Linked DNA regions of Coturnix japonica. Each later gene encodes a partner of the first gene's protein in a complex. Links are inferred from orthologs where the notes say so. Each region holds a gene or a part of one and is shown in the gene's direction. Other genes may lie near its edges.

Region 1 (2,508 bases):
GATGAGCTGGGTGGAATGTAGAGGAATTCCAGTGTGACAGCCCAGAGGTGCACTGGTGTTAGGACGTGGTCCCAGAGAGTTCAGCCCTGTTTGCTGATGGGGAGGAGCACAGCGTTTGATCCTTTGTGATGTTTTGTCTTGTCTTCAGGCTGTTGTCGTCAAGTATTTGAGATTAGTGCAGTACACCGAGATTATTTTTAATCAACAATTACTTCGAAATTGACAATGGAAAGCTTACAAATTAGAATCCAAAGCTTTGATTTCTTTGTCAGAGAGTCCGTGTTTCCCAGAATAAAAGGCTTTGAGGAAGAGCAGTATTGCCTTCATGTTATGTGTGGTAACGTCTGTGTTGAGGCCTGTGATTTTTCTCACGTTTTCCCTGTGACTCAAATACCAAAGCTGATGAATCTCTTCACCTCCACATTCCCCCAGAGGCTTTTCTCATTCTCTTCCTGTGATACTTATTTGTTTCTTTTCTCCTCCCTTGGCAGACCTGCATGGGCAAAGATGTAACCCTTCACGTCTCTGCAAGCAACCCCGCGATGCTGCTTTACCAAAAATTCGGGTTTAAGACTGAAGAATACATTTTGGATTTTTATGACAAATATTATCCCCTGGACAGCAAGGAGTGCAAGCATGCATTCTTTCTCAGACTACGGCGCTGATCTGTCAGAGGGGATCTGTGAAAAGCCCAGCCTGTTGAGCAAGGTATTACCGTGACTTTCAGCAGAGGATGCTGGCTGTCACATGAGAGCTGGAACGCACATTTGCCTTTTTCGGTAGGTCTTCTAATATCAACAGCGCTATGTTTTGTGCTGCAAGTGCAATCCAAGAGGATTGATTCATACTCTCCAAGGGAGAGGCCCAGAAATGCCAACAGAAACATGCTGAAGCCACTGGAAGACTGAGATTCTTATGGAGTTTTCCTGATACTTTGGAGATTGCCACTGGAGGAAAAAACCAACCACACAAAAAAAGCCACCCAAAATTTGTCATTTCAGAGGAGTTCCATGGATTTCAAATTTTGAAACCTATCTCACGTTACAGGGGTTTTGTTAATGTTTTGTTTATGGAAAATGAACATCTAAACTTAAATCATCCACAGTGTTTCTGCGATTTGATTGCTTTGTTAGGAACCACGTCTTGAATCCACGGAGGGGAATGCAATGTCAGGTTCTGACTTCAGGCTCTGCACAGGACAGAATAGCAATACTGAAGCTGTGTTTTAGGAATAATGAAGTGTTTGTGAACTCGTGTGATCCCAAGTTAAAAGGCCCAGGGATGTCTTTGTTCTGCTCCTTCCCTGTGGCCTTCACCCTTGTTGACTCTGTGCTCATTGTGAAGTTCTTGTAGCACGCAGTGTTTTGAGTTCAGGAACAAGATGTCAGGTGGGTTTGTAGCTAGGTGAGGTAGGATACAACAGCTGCCAAATGAGCTCTTTGAGATCTTACTGCCTATCTGCCAGTTGTTGATACTGCAGATCAGCCCTTTGGGCTCACCTCTAACCACATAGCAAGCTTCACAAGCTCCAGACAGCATCTGTCTCCACCTGCTGTGGACACTCTGACCAGAAGAAACCAGGAGCAAAAGTCAGTGGTTAAGTTTGAAATGCAGGCTCTGGTTTGTAGAAGCAACCTGCTTGCAGCTTGGAGAGCAGAGGTGAGCTGGTTCCAGTTCACTGAAGCATTTAGATTCTGTTTTCAGGGCTCGAAGTAAAGAGGAGAGCAAAGAATAAAAAATAATAGCCAAGAACTTAAGAAAAAAGACGCAAACAATGCAGCAGTTACTCCTATAGCAGGGTGCAGCCCTTCTATACAGTTTAGCAGCTTCTCTCTCTTAATTTTTGTTATTTATTTCTTTGTTTTCTGCAGAAGAACAGGAAGTTGCCACTTTGCTTTCTGACTTTAGGCTGCTCAGTGTGTTTAAAGGATGAATCATATCCACTGCCTTGTTCCTTTCGCATCAAGGTCAGAGAGCTACACAACAAATATAATGTATTTGTTTTAAATCTGCTGTGTGTGCCTCTTAGGTACTTGGCTGTAGTATTGCCTTAATGACCGCTTCACATTGGTAACAGCAGGAAGGTGGACGTGTATTACGCTTTTGTGTAGCTGACGTACATCTTCATCCAATCAAAACCAGTGTTAGTGGGAGGAAATAAGAACCCGTCCAAGAACTGTGACCTAACATCCATGACATTTCAACCTGCTTTATGACTGTGAGACTTTTCCACGTTACCGGTGTTAGGAATTAGCTGTACTTGGAAAGGAAAAACACGTCTCTATGAATGGAATTAAAGCCCTTCCCTTGACAGAGCCTACCTGTAGTTACCTATGTGCTGAGCTGACTTTCTGAGGTGAAATCCCACAGGAGCACTGGCAGGGCTCTCCTGGGGACTTACTCCCAGGAGGGGAGTAAACTCTTCGAAAGGGCTGACAATAGCAGGCCTAGGGGAAATGGTTTTAAGTTAAAAGAGGGAAGATTTAGGTTGGATGTTAGGGGGAAGTT
Region 2 (4,249 bases), on another chromosome or scaffold:
CCTGGCATTCTTAAAGACATCCAGAGGGCTCACACCAGCACTGAAAGCAGTCACTTCCCAATCATCTGAGACACTTATGGACTTTTCTTTCCTTTTCAGCATTACGGGAAGCTTTTCTCGCCCCCCAGAAGCCTCACAGACAGGTGTCTTTTCCAATGTACTTGGCAGATCACCAAGTTCAGGCTATTTGGAACCAAAAGGAATGAAAGACTTTGTGAGAGAGAAGCCTGCCAAGGCCCAGTCTTTCACAGAGAGGGAATTTGGACAGAGATCACATCCTGCTGATCCCAGCTGTGGCAGCATGGCCTGCGGAGCAAGAAGGACCCTCACAGATGACTCATAACCCACAAGTTCAATTTCATCCAAAGACAACAGGCTGTCCGTGCAGATTCTCTATTTATGACATTTGTTAAAGATAAATCCAGGACACTCAGAGGCTAAGGGGTTGCTTAGGATTACAATTACCATTTGTATTGGAAACTATAGTTTCCAGTTCCAGAAAGGTATCATTCAGTATAGATATAGATTAATATATATGAAATATCAGGCAAAAAAAGCTTCCACAACGAGAGGAGGCACAGTACAGAAATACAGGCTCTTGTCTCCTATGTGAAAGCAACACCTACCCTTATCACAAGAAAGCTGCATGAATGTATAGCATTACCCTGCTGATTTGTGGTATTTAGTCTTCTTTTCTTTCCAGAATGAAGACTATACACCAAGGCAAGAACTGGATTTATTCCCTAACAGCATAGGATGGATGGAGCATCTCTCACAGTTCCATGCCTGTATTTTCCCCCCATGGTAAAGGGCAGGGTTAAAGCTGCAGACTTCAGCTATGGGTTTCCAAGCTGGAGAAGGGCCTTGGCTTCATTACACCATCACTTTTTTCCTTTCTCAGCAGCCACCAGCATTTCTGGAGCCCGCAGATCTTCCTGTGTTACAGGGCCAGCACATAACACGTGTCTCTTGGTTTTCTTCCCTCTCACTGAAAGCAGTTCGGAAAAAAACCCACTGTTTTCCAGAAAAACACTGAAATTTGAGGAGAATCTGCATGCAAGCTAAATGGAAGCTAAATATATCCCTAGGCAGGGCTAGGCCGCACACCTACCCTCGGTATAACAGCATTACGTGGCCTGCTGTGCTGTTTACCTTACGGATTAGCTCAGTCTCCTCACAATATTGTGGGTTAAGCATGAATTTTCAGTGCTTTCGTTCCTTCATTCCTCAGGGCAGCGAGCACACACCTGAGGGATGGAGGCCTTCAGCACAGAGCCATTTCCAAAGGCGGGAAGCAGGCTGAAAAAAGAAGCGCGTGGCCCTTTAAGGCGCACGGCCCCCACTGATGCTTTTTGTCCCTCTGGCCGCACCGTAGCGCTCATGGGAGAGAGCGGCATTGTGCAGCCTTTGGCCTACATCGCGCATGCGCAGTGCCACATTCCCCGCCTGGCGGCTCCGGTGCTGCCGCCGCCGCCGTGTCCCCCCTCCGCCCCTCCCGAGGCAGGAGGAGGAGGCGGCGGTGCCGGGTGTGCACCCAGCCCTTCCCCTTCCCTCGGTAAGTCACTATGGAGCCCGGCTGGATGGGTTCCTTCAGCTCCGGCTTCGTGTGGGGAGCCGCCTCTCCTCCCTCCCCCACCGCCCTCACTCTGAGGCGAGAGGGGGCCGCGTGCGGCCTTGCATTGCTCTGTATGTGCATTGCATTGCTCTGTGTGTGCATTGCATTGCTCTGCAGCTCCGTTGCTTTGCCCTGCAGCTCCATTGCTTTGCCCTGCAGCTCCCTTGCTTTGCCCTGCAGCTCCGTTGCTTTGCCCTGCAGNTTGCCCTGCAGCTCCGTTGCTTTGCCCTGCAGCTCCATTGCTTTGCCCTGCAGCTCCCTTGCTTTGCCCTGCAGCTCCGTTGCTTTGCCCTGCAGCTCCATTGCTTTGCCCTGCAGCTCCATTGCTTTGCCCTGCAGCTCCATTGCTTTGCCCTGCAGCTCCATTGCTTTGCCCTGCAGCTCCATTGCTTTGCTCTGCAGCTCCATTGCTCTGTGCTGCTCCACGCCTCGCTGTAGAGCGTGCAGCCCTGTGGATGTGTGCACGCCCTATGTACGTGCACACACGTGGCTGTGTATCCTTGCAGGCTGTGTATCCTTGCAGGCTGTGTATTCCTGCAGGCTGCTGCTGCTTCTAAAGCCTTCGGGAAGTTTCTTGCTTACAAGCTGAGTTTACACGAGCTTCCCCCCTGGGTGTGGTGAGAAAGGGGTGTTTGCAGCCAGGGCCCTTTGAAGCTTGCCATGTGCTGCTGCTCAGGTTTGTATGAGGAGGTGCAAGGGGTAAGCTGTGTTGCTTGCTCAAGTTCCCATATAAGTTCAGGTTGAAATGCATTAGATCTGGATTATAGAGCTGGAGTTGCTGGTATTAACAGTAAGTAAGGAGTCTGTACTGTGCTTGTAAAGCTTGCAACTGGTGGCACTGAGCTCTGTGCCCTCCTGAGGACAAGATGTGCATCGTGGCTTGAAAAGTCAATGCTGTTCCTCTTGGATTTGCTGCCACAAGCAAAATGGATTGTGCTTGGGATGGGATATTGCAAATAGCAAAGGATTTGTAAATCCTTACAATGTGAGCTGCGGGTTATTCTGTTACACTGCTGAAATGAAGCTGAACTGCAGCGTGATTGTTCCCTCTGCAGCATCAGCCCTGATTGCAGGGTACAGCACAGCACTGCTCAGGTTTTGCTACAGAAAGCAGATCTGGTGAGGTTAATGCAGGGCTGCTGTTAGGCAGGGGGATCTCTCAAGCAGGGATATGGTGCTCACAGCATTTAGGGGGAAGGTATTAGACCAAAGTACTTGAAATAGGAAATGGAAAAATAAAACAAACCTGGTGTGGTTTTAAGCTTTGGAAATGCCTTATATATAAGGTGTTGTATTTGCTGTGTTGTACAGATGTTTCAAGGAATATAAGATAAACCCACTGCCTCTAAGAGCTACTCTGCTTTATTTGTAGTGATTGGTACAAAACACAGCAAAAAACGCTGTGCAGGAGCTGATCAAAGTCTTGTATTTGGGTTCTTGATAGACCACTAATAGACCTGTAGGCATAAAATGGCATGTTGCTGAGCAGGCGTACAATATGTTTCCTCATCATGTTTTCTGCAGACCTGCAGTTAAGCTGATCTTGTTCCTTTAGCTGCCTCTGATCCTTCTTTGATGGTTAATGTGATTGTTTGCTTTTTCTTCCAGGGTTTTGTTTCTAGCAGCGCTGTTCCTCTCCCCGTGGCAAGGGCTGCCTTGTGAAGCAGCACGTTCATTCTCCCCCTTCAAGCACCGTAGGTCTCATTTGCCGGCTTCAGAACCATGGCAACAGAAGAAAAGAAACCAGATGCAGAATCCACCAAAACACAATCGACTCCTTCCTCCTCAACCAATCAGAGCAAGGTGTGTGTGGGGAGCTCTGAACAATGCCTGCGTAAATGCACATGGTGCATACCTGCACGTGCACCAGGCAAACAGCAATTAGAGAACTGAATCAAGTATGCATTAAGAACTTCTTAATACGTCTGCCTCTGCTGTTGTATGGAGAGGGAAGTGTGCTGAAGGTTGTAGGGGAAAAGCAGGCTGAGTACAGCTTAGTGCTAGGTTGATTATTTGGTTGAAATAGAGTTTTAAGGGGCCTGGGGGAGTTGGCTTGTGGTTGCTTCTGAGCAAGGAATAGAACTACAGGCATTTCATAGTACTATACACAGAGTATAAAACCATCACCAGAGGTTTTATTTTAATCTCAAAACACTCTGTGCTCGAACTGTTGTGTTACTGTCATCTGTTAGTTGCAGGCTTGAAGGGAATTCAGATCAGGATGAGTTTGGTGGCACGTGGCTGTAATGTGCTTCTGGCTCCAGTGGGGGCTTGTTGAATTTGGTGGGGGGAGAGAATGTAAATGGTAGAATCTGTTCAGGTGAATGTATGTATTCATGTGTGCTGATCTCGTCTGATACTGAGCTTGTCACTGAGAAACTAAATTGGGAATTTATTCAACTCATTCATATGTATTTTTCTTCCAGCCTGCACCAGTGAAACCAAATTATGCTCTAAAGTTCACGTTAGCGGGACATACGAAGGCGGTATCATCTGTAAAGTTTAGTCCTAATGGAGAGTGGTTAGCCAGCTCCTGTAAGTATTGCTTTCTTACATCAACAGAATGCAAATACGGGCCTTGTAGAACTACTTGTCTTAACTGACTGGATGGAGAAGGGATAAGTGTCCTTACTG
Region 3 (3,521 bases), on another chromosome or scaffold:
ATATCAGATTTTCAGCAGTCTGGATAGATGTGTGGGCTTAACACTCTAGAAGTAGAAAGATTCTAGATTTTGGTGGACAGGTGGCTCTGCTCAGGTACTCACTAATTCAGCATTTGAGTACCATGCTGTTAGAAGGGGATAGACGCTTATTCCTTCCATGCATGTGCTCCATAAAGCCACAGTTTGTTTCAAGAGTGTGAAATTCTGAAGTTGTTTCACTACAGCTTCACTTGTTTGCAGCAGGCCTAGTGTTATTGCTGTATTTGTATTGAGCTATTGTATGAATCTGTCATAGTTACAGTCCGAAAGAAAAGTATGTAGCTATAAGTACTTCCCATGAATTCCCATTCTTTTAAGTGGCACATACAACTTGCTGTTGATTTGGGCAGCTGCTCATCCTCCAGTGCAGCAGATTGCTAAGCCTGATCTCTGTCAGTATTCTTCTATGAACATCTGTATTCACTGTGATAGTTCATCTTAGTCATGTTCGACATGTAGACTTCTAAACACCTTAATGCTGAAAAGGAAAAGCTCTGAGTTTGAAATAGTTGATTGAATTTACTGTTTACATTTTAAAATAAAATGAGCTCCTTAATATTAATAGGCTGCTTATAGAACCGGTTCTGCACCAGGGACATGTTTGACTCCTCTTTACTGAGACTGTGTTAAACAGGTTCGAGAAAGCTTTTGTTGATTCTCATAGAAACTCTGGACTAATTTGAAACGGTTCCAGTGTCTGCGTGGGCTGAGGCTGAACTGGCATGCTGTCTGGAGTAATTTAATTATCTCTAAATTGGTTCGTCTCTTAACTTCATTTTTCTTAAGAAATAGGTATTATGTAAAGCCACTTCCAATATGTTTGCCAAACCTTAAAAGAATGGCAGTCCTGCTGTAGTGTGCTGCTAGATTGAAGGTAGTGCGTTAATTGTCTCCTTGTATGTGTTGGAAGCCCCAGGTTTACAGAGTGGCTTTGTGTTACTGTGGTGGCCTGCCCCTCAGTTGTGGGTAGGAAAGGATCATGTAGAAACATGTGGAAAAGTAGTCTGATGTACTGTGAGTCAGTTTGTTTATAATGTTGTTCATATTTACTGTTATGTAGTTTGTTTTAGTGTGACTTCTTGGAAAGTTTATTACATAAGGTTGAAATAAAGTAAGATAAATATTAAGTATCATTCTATAAGGAAAACTCGGACTTGCGTAACTACTGGAAGTGAACCAGGTGTTGAATGAAGCTGGGGCTTGTTTCTAAGTAGTTGGTGTCTGTGTGATACTTCCAGCCTGTTCTGTATTAGGTTCTGTTTTAGGGTGTGTGTGTGTGGAGGCATATGGTAGCAAGTGGCATATCAAAATGTGCCTTTTCTCATATGTTTTGCCTGTTTTGTTTTTAACCTTTCTGTTATTTTTGCATTCTTTAAAAGCTGTTGCAGAATACAGCTGTGCTTCAGGTTTCCTTGGGCAGGTTAAAATGCTGTGTTACAGCTTCTGAATGCATTTTAATGTAGACATAAGTACGAGGATTTCCATTCCAAAACAATAAGGAGTTGTATGTAACTGTATATGTAATATGTGTTGTTGGCATCTAGAAAATGAGATCAGATATTCAGATCCAAAACTAAAGTGAATTTCTATGGTTATGTTTGTTGTTTCTATCTTTAAAGTTTTCTTTGTTATAGGTAAATGATTTTATTTGAAGACTTGCAACAAAAATGGAAAGATAGAATCATGGAGAGATTAATGGATCACAGTTCACATAGGAAGGGCATCTTGGTTCTGTAGTTGATGTATGAATCTGATGTGCAGAACATGAAGATGGAGGCTTTCCAAGAATAAAGCAAAATGGATCTGAGAGTCCTGAGTGCTTTGCAAGCCAGGACTTTTTGCACTTCAGTAAACCTTGCATTTCTAGTGTGAAAGCTTGCCCTCTTTAGAGGGCATAGGAGAAGAGGCAGGGAGAGTAGCTGTCACATGTTCCCACAAGCACAACTTTTCATTGCCAAACGACAGAAAAATGATCAATCGTCTTCTATTTTTTATAAATGTATGTTTAAACATGTTGGTATCTGATTTCAAAAGCCTTCTAAAAGACCAATGTTTTATTTTTTCTAGCACTAGAAAGTTTGGGCTTTGGGTCCTATATCAGTGAAGTAAAAGAAGTCTTACAAGAATGCAAAACCGTAGCACTAAAGAGAAGAAAGGCCAGTTCACGCCTGGAAAACCTCGGCATTCCGGAAGAAGAGCTTCTAAGGCAGCAACAGGAATTGTTTGCAAAAGTAAGTGAGGCAACACAACACTTAGACAGATGAGGTTGTAATAATTAATGTGGTGAATCTGATGCTGCAAAAACATGTACACACACCTAGAAGTATTCCTTTCCTTGATGACTGTTGTAGCGTCTAAGGTGCAATTGATCTTCTTGTCCTGCTTGTGTTACAGAAAGTCGAGTCAATAAGTAAGATACTGTTTGTGGTTACTCCTGCAAGTTGACACATACAAACAAATTTTATACTCTAGATTTAGGAAGTTTTTGAGTTTTGTTGTTTTTTTTTCCTTCCCTACTATTGAGACAGGTACTTCCATTGTATTGTAGTGATGCATTAAGAACTACTTAGCTGAGGAATAAAAAATGGAATTGCCTTTTTTTTTCCTTAAGTTGCATTTAAAACATGAATCTCTCTTCTGTTTGTGACCATCACTGCACAATTCATTGAGGCTTTGAAAGTAGCAATTAATTGTTAAAAAATTCCAATTTGTCCTTTCTCATCTTTATTTACTTGTGGCGAGATTCTATTGGAGTTAATTCATGCATAAACTTTTAAGGAGGCAGTTGAAGCACAGGGAAGGAATTTGCCTACAAATACTCCTTCATCCCAGCTTTGCCTAATAGTAAATGTTCCCAGGTTTAAACAACTAAAAGCTAATTTTATTTATCCTTCTACACCATCTTTCTCTGTCTTATTCTCAGTCTGACAAGAAAGTCTTTCTCTAAACAAAATGATATGAAAATAATCTTTGTTTCCTCTTGCCCAATCCATGAGTCTTGTTTTCTTAATTTACATAATTCTGTTTCCTCTGAAAATGCTTATTCAGTCATTACTATGTCTGATTACTATGACCTCCTTTCCCATCACTTCACTATACTTGTATCTTGCTGGAACACTTCATAATTGTTGGGTTTGTATCATAAGGTGCCAGCTATGTTAATCTTATTTGCATGATGAATTCTTTTTGCCAACTAAAGCTTCTGCATGCATGAGGCTCTTGTCAGCATGCATTGAACTAGTTAGGACTTTTTTTCTGACTGTATTACCACTAGAAGGAGCAATATGGCTGCTTCTGTTTAAGGTTTGATTTGTATGTAGTAGTCAGCTTAAATCATGTTTTTTTTTCAAACCATTGTTCAAAAACTTTGGTCTACAAAATGATGATGGATATTCAGAACAACAAAGATAGTTGAGGGGGTACCACCTCCTAAGTAACATAAAACAAGAATGCTAAAAACCATTGCTACCTTATGTAGGCAG
Region 4 (3,521 bases), on another chromosome or scaffold:
TGGCAGAAGTTGGATCAGGGACTGTTAGGAATTAAAAGTAATCCAACAAGGGGGGAAAAAAGAGATGAAGACAAGTCTTTTATTATTATTATTTTATTTTATTTTTTTTTCCTTCTGTTTGTGACCAGCCCCTGGCTTTGAGCTCTGTTGTGCAGGAAGAGAGGAAGAGAACTTCTCCTCGCCAGGGCTGCAGGGAGGGCTACCCTTCCATCCATTGTGAGGGACTTTGGCTCCATGGACTTGAGTCTGCCTGCTGACAGAGAGCTACCCCTGCTTGCTTCATTGGTTCTGCATCAAGTGGAGGTGATGGGGGAGTAGGGTTGGCTAGTAGGAGCACACAGGGAGTTGTGCAGCTGTGTGTGGAGCAGAGCTGTTGGTGCCATGGAGAAAGGGAGCTGTTATGTCTAGGGTACACTGCAGGTGTTCAGGTGGCTGCAGCCCTCCTTGCTGCTACCAGGTGCATTTCTGAGACCAGAAGGCGTGCAGGAATAGATTCAGTCTGGGGTCCTGTTTCTGAAGAGCTGCTGTAAGCTTTTCAGTTACACGTGTTTTTTCCCATGAAGCAGGTGATGAGGTATTTGCTTTTTTATGTGTATGCTGACTTTTTCCTTTTTAGCTTAGACTTTGATATGGGCTGCAGGGAAATAATGACTGGATGTGCCTGGCCTGTGTTACAGGGGACCAGGTCATGTGATACCACCATTCTTAATCACCCTTCCATCAAGAAGTTTCTGGAGTCTCCCTCTCGCTCATCATCCCCTGCTCACCAGGGCTCGGATGCGCCATCAGCCAACCACTCCGAGAGCGACTCTCTCTCGCAGCACAATGACTTCTTCCTGGACAAGGACAATGGCAGCCTGGATGCGGACGAGCGGCTGGCAAACAGCCTGGACCAGAGGCAGAGCAGAAGTGCTAGCCGGGTAACGTAATGTGTGAATGGTGGTCATGTTGTTGTAGGGCTGTCTGGACTCAATAATCTGCTCATGTTCTTACCTGCCTTGCTGAACATTTGTTTCTTACCCTCTCCAACTGCTTGCTCCCACTTCAGCTTGTTCCTGCAGTAAAGCTCACCGAAGTTCATGTACCTGGGTTAACCACACAGCAGGAAGGTTGAATGGGAAGCAGGACTGCTCTGGTGTTGGTGCTGCTGCCTGCTGCATCCCTGGGGCTCGAGGAGTTGTGCAGCTCAAACCAAGGGCTTTATGCAGGTGGAAGTCAGATTGGGAGGGGCAAGAGCCCGCAGAAAATAGCAAGACGTTATTTCCTGCAGTGTTCTTAAGAATCTGGTGAGGCTGCATGCAGTGGTGCTGCTGCCCATCCTTTGAGGAACAGAGTGGCTGTATCCCTGGAGACTGTACTGGGGCTGCACAGTGCTGCATAGAGAAAGCACTCACAAGTGGGCTAGCATTTCTGCAACTGAACATGTTGCCATGAAAAAGCACTGACTGCATCCAGCAAGCAGTGTATGACACCTTGCTAACAGAGCAGCAGCCTGCTGAAGCCCTTCTTAGGGTTCACAGCAGAAACTGGAAACAGAATATGTGGACCCACCTGCATCGTGAGCTTCCAGACTAGTGTAGGTTGTTTCTGCACGGGGGCTTTGGTGAAATAGTTGTATTGCATGGGCACAGCGTGGCATTGTGTCTTTGATGGACACAGCATGGAGGTGACCAAGGGGTAATGAGGAGCAGAAGCCATGGTAGGCTTCCGTCCTGCTCTTGCTCCAGTCTCGGGCATCAGCAATGTAATGAGGTATAGTCATCCCTCTCAGATTCTCTGTTTACCATGTCATGCCTGGAGGACAGGTGCTCAGGGCAGGACATGGGGCAGAGGGCAGCAGTCCTTGGTCTGTAGAAGCTGCTTTATCCAGCAGGCACAGAAAAACCTCTCCTTTTCATGCTGACAGCTGTGCAGCTGGGTGGTCATGGCATCACTTCAGGCAGTTCCAAGCACTGCTGAAGAGCTGAGATTGTGCTGCAAAGTTGCTGATGCTAGTTTTATGATGCCCAGGTGTTGGGGTGGATCTGTAGGCCTGCGTGGGTATTGGTGACGTATTACAGCTGGTTCCATGTTTATTTATGTGGAGCTGGATTCTTTTCCCAATGTTGGCCTTGATTCTTCACTGTGGAGCAATGTTGAAGGCCCTCAAGGCAGCAGAGGGCAGGAATTGGAAAGGTTCAGGTTTTCAGCAGCTGCCTGTGGGAGACTGACTTGATTTCTGATGAGAGACACAAACGATGATGTCTTGGCAATGCTTGATTTGACTTTTCAGGTAACGGTGCATGATTTTTCAGGCAGTGTGGAGGTGTTGCTTTGAAACACAGGCTGGAGTTGTGGTTCACATCCATGGTACTTTGCATAACTTGCACCAGGCTAAGCTATTCAGCATCCATGTTGCTGGGCACAGCGTCCTTGTTGTGTGCTGAATTGCTTAAATGTGCCTGGATACCAGTGTAAGTGCAGCTTGGGGATGACTCATTGTGGGCCTCTCATCTATGAAATTCAACAAAATTTTACTTTTCTAGTGCCAAACAGAATAATGTTTACAAGCAATGTGTATTTGCCTTATTCTCTTCTTCTACCCACAGGACAGTTTGGGTGTTTCTATCTCCCAAAAACCAGGACAACGAAATGCAGGGTTGTCCAACGATGAGACGTCCCGGCTGTACGTGAAGAAAACGATTGTGGTGGGCAACGTCTCCAAGTTAGTATCCAGAGGCTTTGTGGTGCTCTTCATTCAGGATCCAGCAGAACAACAGGTTAAAACTAGGAGACAAAGAAATTGTTGGGCTGTGGCAGTGTGAGGTGTTGCCCTGGAATGACTGCATCCAAGTTTGCCCTCCCTGAGCTGTTTGGGGAGAGAGGTGTTCTAGTAGCTCGTGTGTATGGAGTCTTTAAGGTCTGTTTCTTTCAAGGGGAGTCTTTCAGCTTTGCTATCCAGTTAAAAATCTCATGTTTTCCCATGAAAATTTTGAAAAAACTGTTTGTCTTAATTGCAGTTTCAGTGTATCAATAAGGATAATATATGTAACAACAACAAGGAGGACAAAACCGACCTCTCTCCACCCCCAGAAAGTCCAACCCAAGCTCACAAGATTATCAGTATGAGAAAAATTATATGAACATATAATGTAGTTTGAAGAAATATTTTTGTTTTTGTTTATTTCCCCCCCAAATTTAAGACAAACGTACAGTTAGAAGGGGTGTTATTTTCTAGGAGGCACATCTGTCCTTGTGCTGCTGGTCAGTCTCTCCATTTGCACAGCAATTAGCAAATGTTGGCTAATGAGACTTACTGTTAGAATTGTCTCTTGAAAATCTGCCTAATCCTGGCAATGGAATCAGGTATGGGTCAGGTGCTTCTTAAAAATGTATAAGAATAATCTAATAATAATATTTTAATATTTATTATAGCAGAGTTGCTGGTGTTCTGGAATGGTTTAACTTCTTGATACCTCACAAAAGGGATTTGATGGTGATACAGTATTAAAATTAAGCTTTCGTAATTAAGAAGCATGTTT
Region 5 (4,116 bases), on another chromosome or scaffold:
TCATCCACAAAACCTATTTATGAAATGCTGCAGGCTTTAGAGAAACACTGTTTTTACCTAAAAAATGCATCATCTTCTTCCTCACCACTTACTGGGAACAGCAGATTGAACATCAGCAGCTTAAACAACCACAGCTTCAACTGCTGCAGACTGAAACCAGACTTAACATCAGAAGCAACATTTACCTGGTTAGGAGCAATGGCATCAATTCACTGTGAAACGAGGTGCTGTGAAGACACCCACATGCTGATTCCTTCCATTAACTACCTGGATTCATGCTTTAATTCCCAGATACTTGACAGACCTGTTGGCATAAGCAATAAATATTTCATTGACATTCCAAAGTCTGCCTCCCTCAACTATTTATTTTTTACACGCTCATTTAGGGCCTGGGAAGAAGGAAAAATAAATCGCTTCCAATATTTCTGGTCTCCTTAAACAGCTCAGAGCATACATGTATTGAACTCATCCTACAACAGCAGACTTCCACCTCCCCCAGCCTCAAAGGAATAATATGGATATTCACTGTGAGCTTTAGGTCTGAGGTGGTTTCCATGTGCTCACACAGACTGAATCTCTACTTTATTCCCTGTTTAATATCTCAATGCCATCTTCACCTTCCAGATATGAACTGCCAAAGGCTGCATCTGTCTGTTAGAGAACAGCTCTCACCTTCAGCTCCCATGCAAGGGATTAAACACTTCAGAATCTGTAGGACTGAATGGGAACAACCTGTGAGCCTCAGAACACGTCCCTCTAGCACTGCATGTCATCTGAACCACCATCACAGCTGCCGAGCTGCACACAAAATGGGACATCAGCAGCAGGCCAGCAGCAGAATCATAGAATCATAGGATCACCAAGGTTGGAAAAGACCTAAAAGATCATCCAGTCCAACCGTTCACTTGTTACCAACAGCTCCCACTAAACCATGTCCCTCAACACAACATCCTTTAACACCCCCAGGGTCAATGACTCCACCACCTCCCTGTGCATCCATTCCAGTGCCTGACCACCCTTTCTGAGCAGTAATACCTCGTAGTGTCCAGCCTGAATCTCCCCTGTCGCAGCTTGAAGCCATTCCCTCTGGTCCTATCACTAATGGGGACGAGGTGACAGCCCTCAGGGGGGGACCAGCACACAGAGGGCAGCAGTCAGAGCCTCGGCCAGAAGAGCAGCTCTAAAGGACGCACAATTAAATTCATAACACGTCCTCAATCGCTGTGTGTGCGCTGCAGGCCCAGCACAACGCCGCTGCCCGGCACTGACACCGTCCCGCAGCATCGCCCCGGGCTCTGAGGGCGGAGCGGGCCGGGGCCGCGCACGTACAACGCCTCAGCGCACGCGCACGGCGGTGACGCGGCCTCGCGAAGGCCGTGACGCGCGGGAACTGCCCCGGCGTGAGGTGAGAGGCGGCGGGGCGCGGCCCGACAGCGGCCAGAGGGAAGTCGGGAGCGAAGCACGGCGGGGAGGAGCCGGATCCGGGGCGGGGGAGATGGAAACTGCGGCGGAGAGGAAAAGGGAGCGGGAGGACGGGCGGCAGCGCGATCCCGCCGCTCACCTCACGGCCTGGAGAGGGGGCGGGGACACGGGGCGGGAAGGGCGCCGCCTTCCGGTGAGGGGAGGACGGTGCTGCAGAGCGGGGCGGGGGCGCCGTGTGGGAGCGCAGGGAGCAGCGCCCGTCAGAATTAATAGCAAAGTGCCCAAATGTGCCTGACACAGACAGTCCGCCCCCGGGTTCCCGGTACCGCCATCACTTGTGTCACTGTCTGCTGGGGCCTTGGGGTGTGTCCCCATAGAATCACAGAATGACCTGGGTTGGAAGGGACCTCAAGGATCATGAAGTTCCAGCCCCCCTGCCTGGCAGGGCCACCACTTCACCCCTTCAGAATCACAGAATCATTCAGTCCCAAAAGACCTCCAAGATCCCCCACCCACCCACACTGACCGCGTCCCTCAGCCCCACATCCCCACATCTGGAACACCTGAAGGGATGGTGCCCCCCCCCCCCCCCCCCCCATAGTGCCGGCAGCTGANATTGCTCTAATAAAGAAATTATTCCTCATACCCAACCAGACCTTTCCAGCACAACGAGAAGCCATCACCTCTCACCCAGCAGGGGCAGCAGGGCCTGACCCCACCTCAGTCCCTGTGACAGGCTGCTCACTGTTCTCCACTCAAAGATGCTGTGAGGATTTCAGCCACCTCTCCAGCCCACAACACCACTTTGGACACAGTGATCTGCATTTGGGGCAGCCCGTGTTCCAGGGAGAGGATGGAGCGCCTGGCCTCCTTCGGCAGTGAGTACCACAGTGCTGCAGGGAGGTGTTCACCATGGTCTGAACTGGGGAGGGAGACAGCAACAGAAGCATCTGATCCATCAAATCCTCGGCTGCATGAGGACGGGAATGATTTGGAGGCCATTCAGATCTTGTTTGTCTGCTTTTCACTACTTAAATTGCATTTAAAAACAAATATGGCTTAAGACAGTATTTAGACTATTTTGCAGTGAACAACATAAGAACTTGCAGAGCAGTGTCGCACTCCTTGTTCAGCAGCCTGAGGTTTGGGCAGGTTACAGAACAATCGAGCCAATGCCTTTGCAACCACAGCAATATGCTTTTTGAGTCAGACAGGGAGGATGGATGGGAGAGTGCTGCTGTCTGTGCAATATTCTCCATAAAGCCTTGGGTCCCTGGGCACTGAGTCAAGTCAGACAGCTCACACAGCTGCCATCACTGCTGAGCAGCACCAGACAGCTGCTGCAGAGCTGTTCCTTGATTCCAGTGTGATCGAACAAGTTGCCCTCAATTGACCAGGTCCATAGCAAAGTTTAAATGCCAATATCTGTCTTAGAACTCCAGCTCAGGAATGAACTTTTATCAGTAGGGAAGAGGTTGCATACAGCTGAGTTTGTTTTGAATTGCTGGACACGAGTGAATTTGGGTGATTGCAAAAGCAGTGCCACATTTGTGTTGCATGAGATTTACATCTGGCTTTGCAGATGACCCCTTCGATAAACCTCCATGCAGAGGTTGCTCTTCGTACCTCATCGAGCCCTACGTGAAGTGTGCGGAGTGTGGGCCTCCTCCCTTCCTCCTGTGCTTGCAGGTGAGTGCAAGGATGAAAGCAAAGACATTCATTTCTCTGAGAAACTCATCAAAGGCTGTCCAGTGCCATGCCGCTCCATAAACACATTAATAACAGGTCTCCATAAACTCATATCAACACAGTTATTTGCTCAGGGAGAGGAAAATGACAAAGAAAATATGAGAGGCTGAAGAACTGAGACATGAGCAGCTGAGCAAGGTCTTTGTGAAGGCAGCCAGAGCTTGCCAAAGGCCTGACTGTAACACAGCATGCCACTGCACGTCTGCAGAAGTATTGTTTCTGTCACTTTGATGGCACAGAAAAGAAAATCCATCAAAAAACACCCTCTCCCTGTCCCTTTTCAGCTTTCTTTTCTTTTTTTAACCTCCCAAATGGAAAAGAAAATCAGCAGGAAGTTTGCAATATAGACAATAATTCTGACCAGATAATAGTTATTTACAAATTGTACGTGTGATCAGATCACCACAGAAAGGATTGTTTTAATTATTTATGACTAAAAAATGGCAACAACTTCTAATACCAAAAAGGGAGCTTTATCAAAACTCCAAAAGGAAACTGCACTTTCAATACTGCAGAATGCTCTGTGCTCCCTTCCAGGAATGACACATAACATAGCACCAAGTTTCTTATCCTGCCTATCTTGGCTATAAATACCTAACAAAAAGCATGGAGCTGCACACGAGTTGGGTCTTGGTGTACAAGACCAGAATACCACACAGCCTCAAAGTTATAACACAAATTGTTCTGCCATTACACGTTTTTTTCTGATTTCACATCAGAAAAAGCAGATGCTGTTTTCAGCATATCAGGCGGTCACTTTTGGATAAGCAGTAGTCAGAGAATGTAAGGGGGGAAAAATGCCAGTCACAATGTTTTCAGGGCAGAAGAGAGTAACATAATGCTCATCTTTCGTTCTGCAGTGTTTCACACGAGGATTTGAGTACAAGAAACACCAAAGTGATCACACTTACGAGATAATGGTAAATATTCCTTTTGGGTTACACC

The links.
Region 2: KAT14 (region 1) and WDR5 share a complex: the UniProt entries of both Homo sapiens proteins name them as parts of the ADA2A-containing complex. The link is inferred for Coturnix japonica from reciprocal best matches to the Homo sapiens genes KAT14 and WDR5.
Region 3: KAT14 (region 1) and DR1 share a complex: the UniProt entries of both Homo sapiens proteins name them as parts of the ADA2A-containing complex. The link is inferred for Coturnix japonica from reciprocal best matches to the Homo sapiens genes KAT14 and DR1.
Region 4: KAT14 (region 1) and YEATS2 share a complex: the UniProt entries of both Homo sapiens proteins name them as parts of the ADA2A-containing complex. The link is inferred for Coturnix japonica from reciprocal best matches to the Homo sapiens genes KAT14 and YEATS2.
Region 5: KAT14 (region 1) and TADA2A share a complex: the UniProt entries of both Homo sapiens proteins name them as parts of the ADA2A-containing complex. The link is inferred for Coturnix japonica from reciprocal best matches to the Homo sapiens genes KAT14 and TADA2A.

The regions. Positions count from the first base shown.
Region 1 is NC_029518.1:13,423,920-13,426,427, reverse strand, and holds the end of KAT14 (cysteine-rich protein 2-binding protein), read left to right. Parts: intron 1-491; coding exon 492-665; 3' UTR 666-2,008; downstream 2,009-2,508. UniProt on the Homo sapiens protein: Component of the ATAC complex, a complex with histone acetyltransferase activity on histones H3 and H4. May function as a scaffold for the ATAC complex to promote ATAC complex stability. Has also weak histone acetyltransferase activity toward histone H4.
Region 2 is NC_029532.1:5,717,783-5,722,031, forward strand, and holds the start of WDR5 (WD repeat-containing protein 5), read left to right. Parts: upstream 1-1,431; 5' UTR 1,432-1,555; intron 1,556-3,223; 5' UTR 3,224-3,337; coding exon 3,338-3,418; intron 3,419-4,041; coding exon 4,042-4,150; intron 4,151-4,249.
Region 3 is NC_029523.1:12,070,774-12,074,294, reverse strand, and holds part of DR1 (protein Dr1), read left to right. Parts: intron 1-2,106; coding exon 2,107-2,270; intron 2,271-3,521. UniProt on the Homo sapiens protein: The association of the DR1/DRAP1 heterodimer with TBP results in a functional repression of both activated and basal transcription of class II genes.
Region 4 is NC_029524.1:700,954-704,474, reverse strand, and holds part of YEATS2 (YEATS domain-containing protein 2), read left to right. Parts: intron 1-677; coding exon 678-920; intron 921-2,588; coding exon 2,589-2,704; intron 2,705-3,521. UniProt on the Homo sapiens protein: Chromatin reader component of the ATAC complex, a complex with histone acetyltransferase activity on histones H3 and H4. YEATS2 specifically recognizes and binds histone H3 crotonylated at 'Lys-27' (H3K27cr).
Region 5 is NC_029534.1:7,297,241-7,301,356, forward strand, and holds the start of TADA2A (transcriptional adapter 2-alpha), read left to right. Parts: upstream 1-1,312; 5' UTR 1,313-1,405; intron 1,406-1,591; exon of another isoform or gene 1,592-1,615; intron 1,616-2,076; 5' UTR 2,077-2,275; coding exon 2,276-2,300; intron 2,301-3,004; coding exon 3,005-3,111; intron 3,112-4,031; coding exon 4,032-4,091; intron 4,092-4,116. UniProt on the Homo sapiens protein: Component of the ATAC complex, a complex with histone acetyltransferase activity on histones H3 and H4. Required for the function of some acidic activation domains, which activate transcription from a distant site. Binds double-stranded DNA.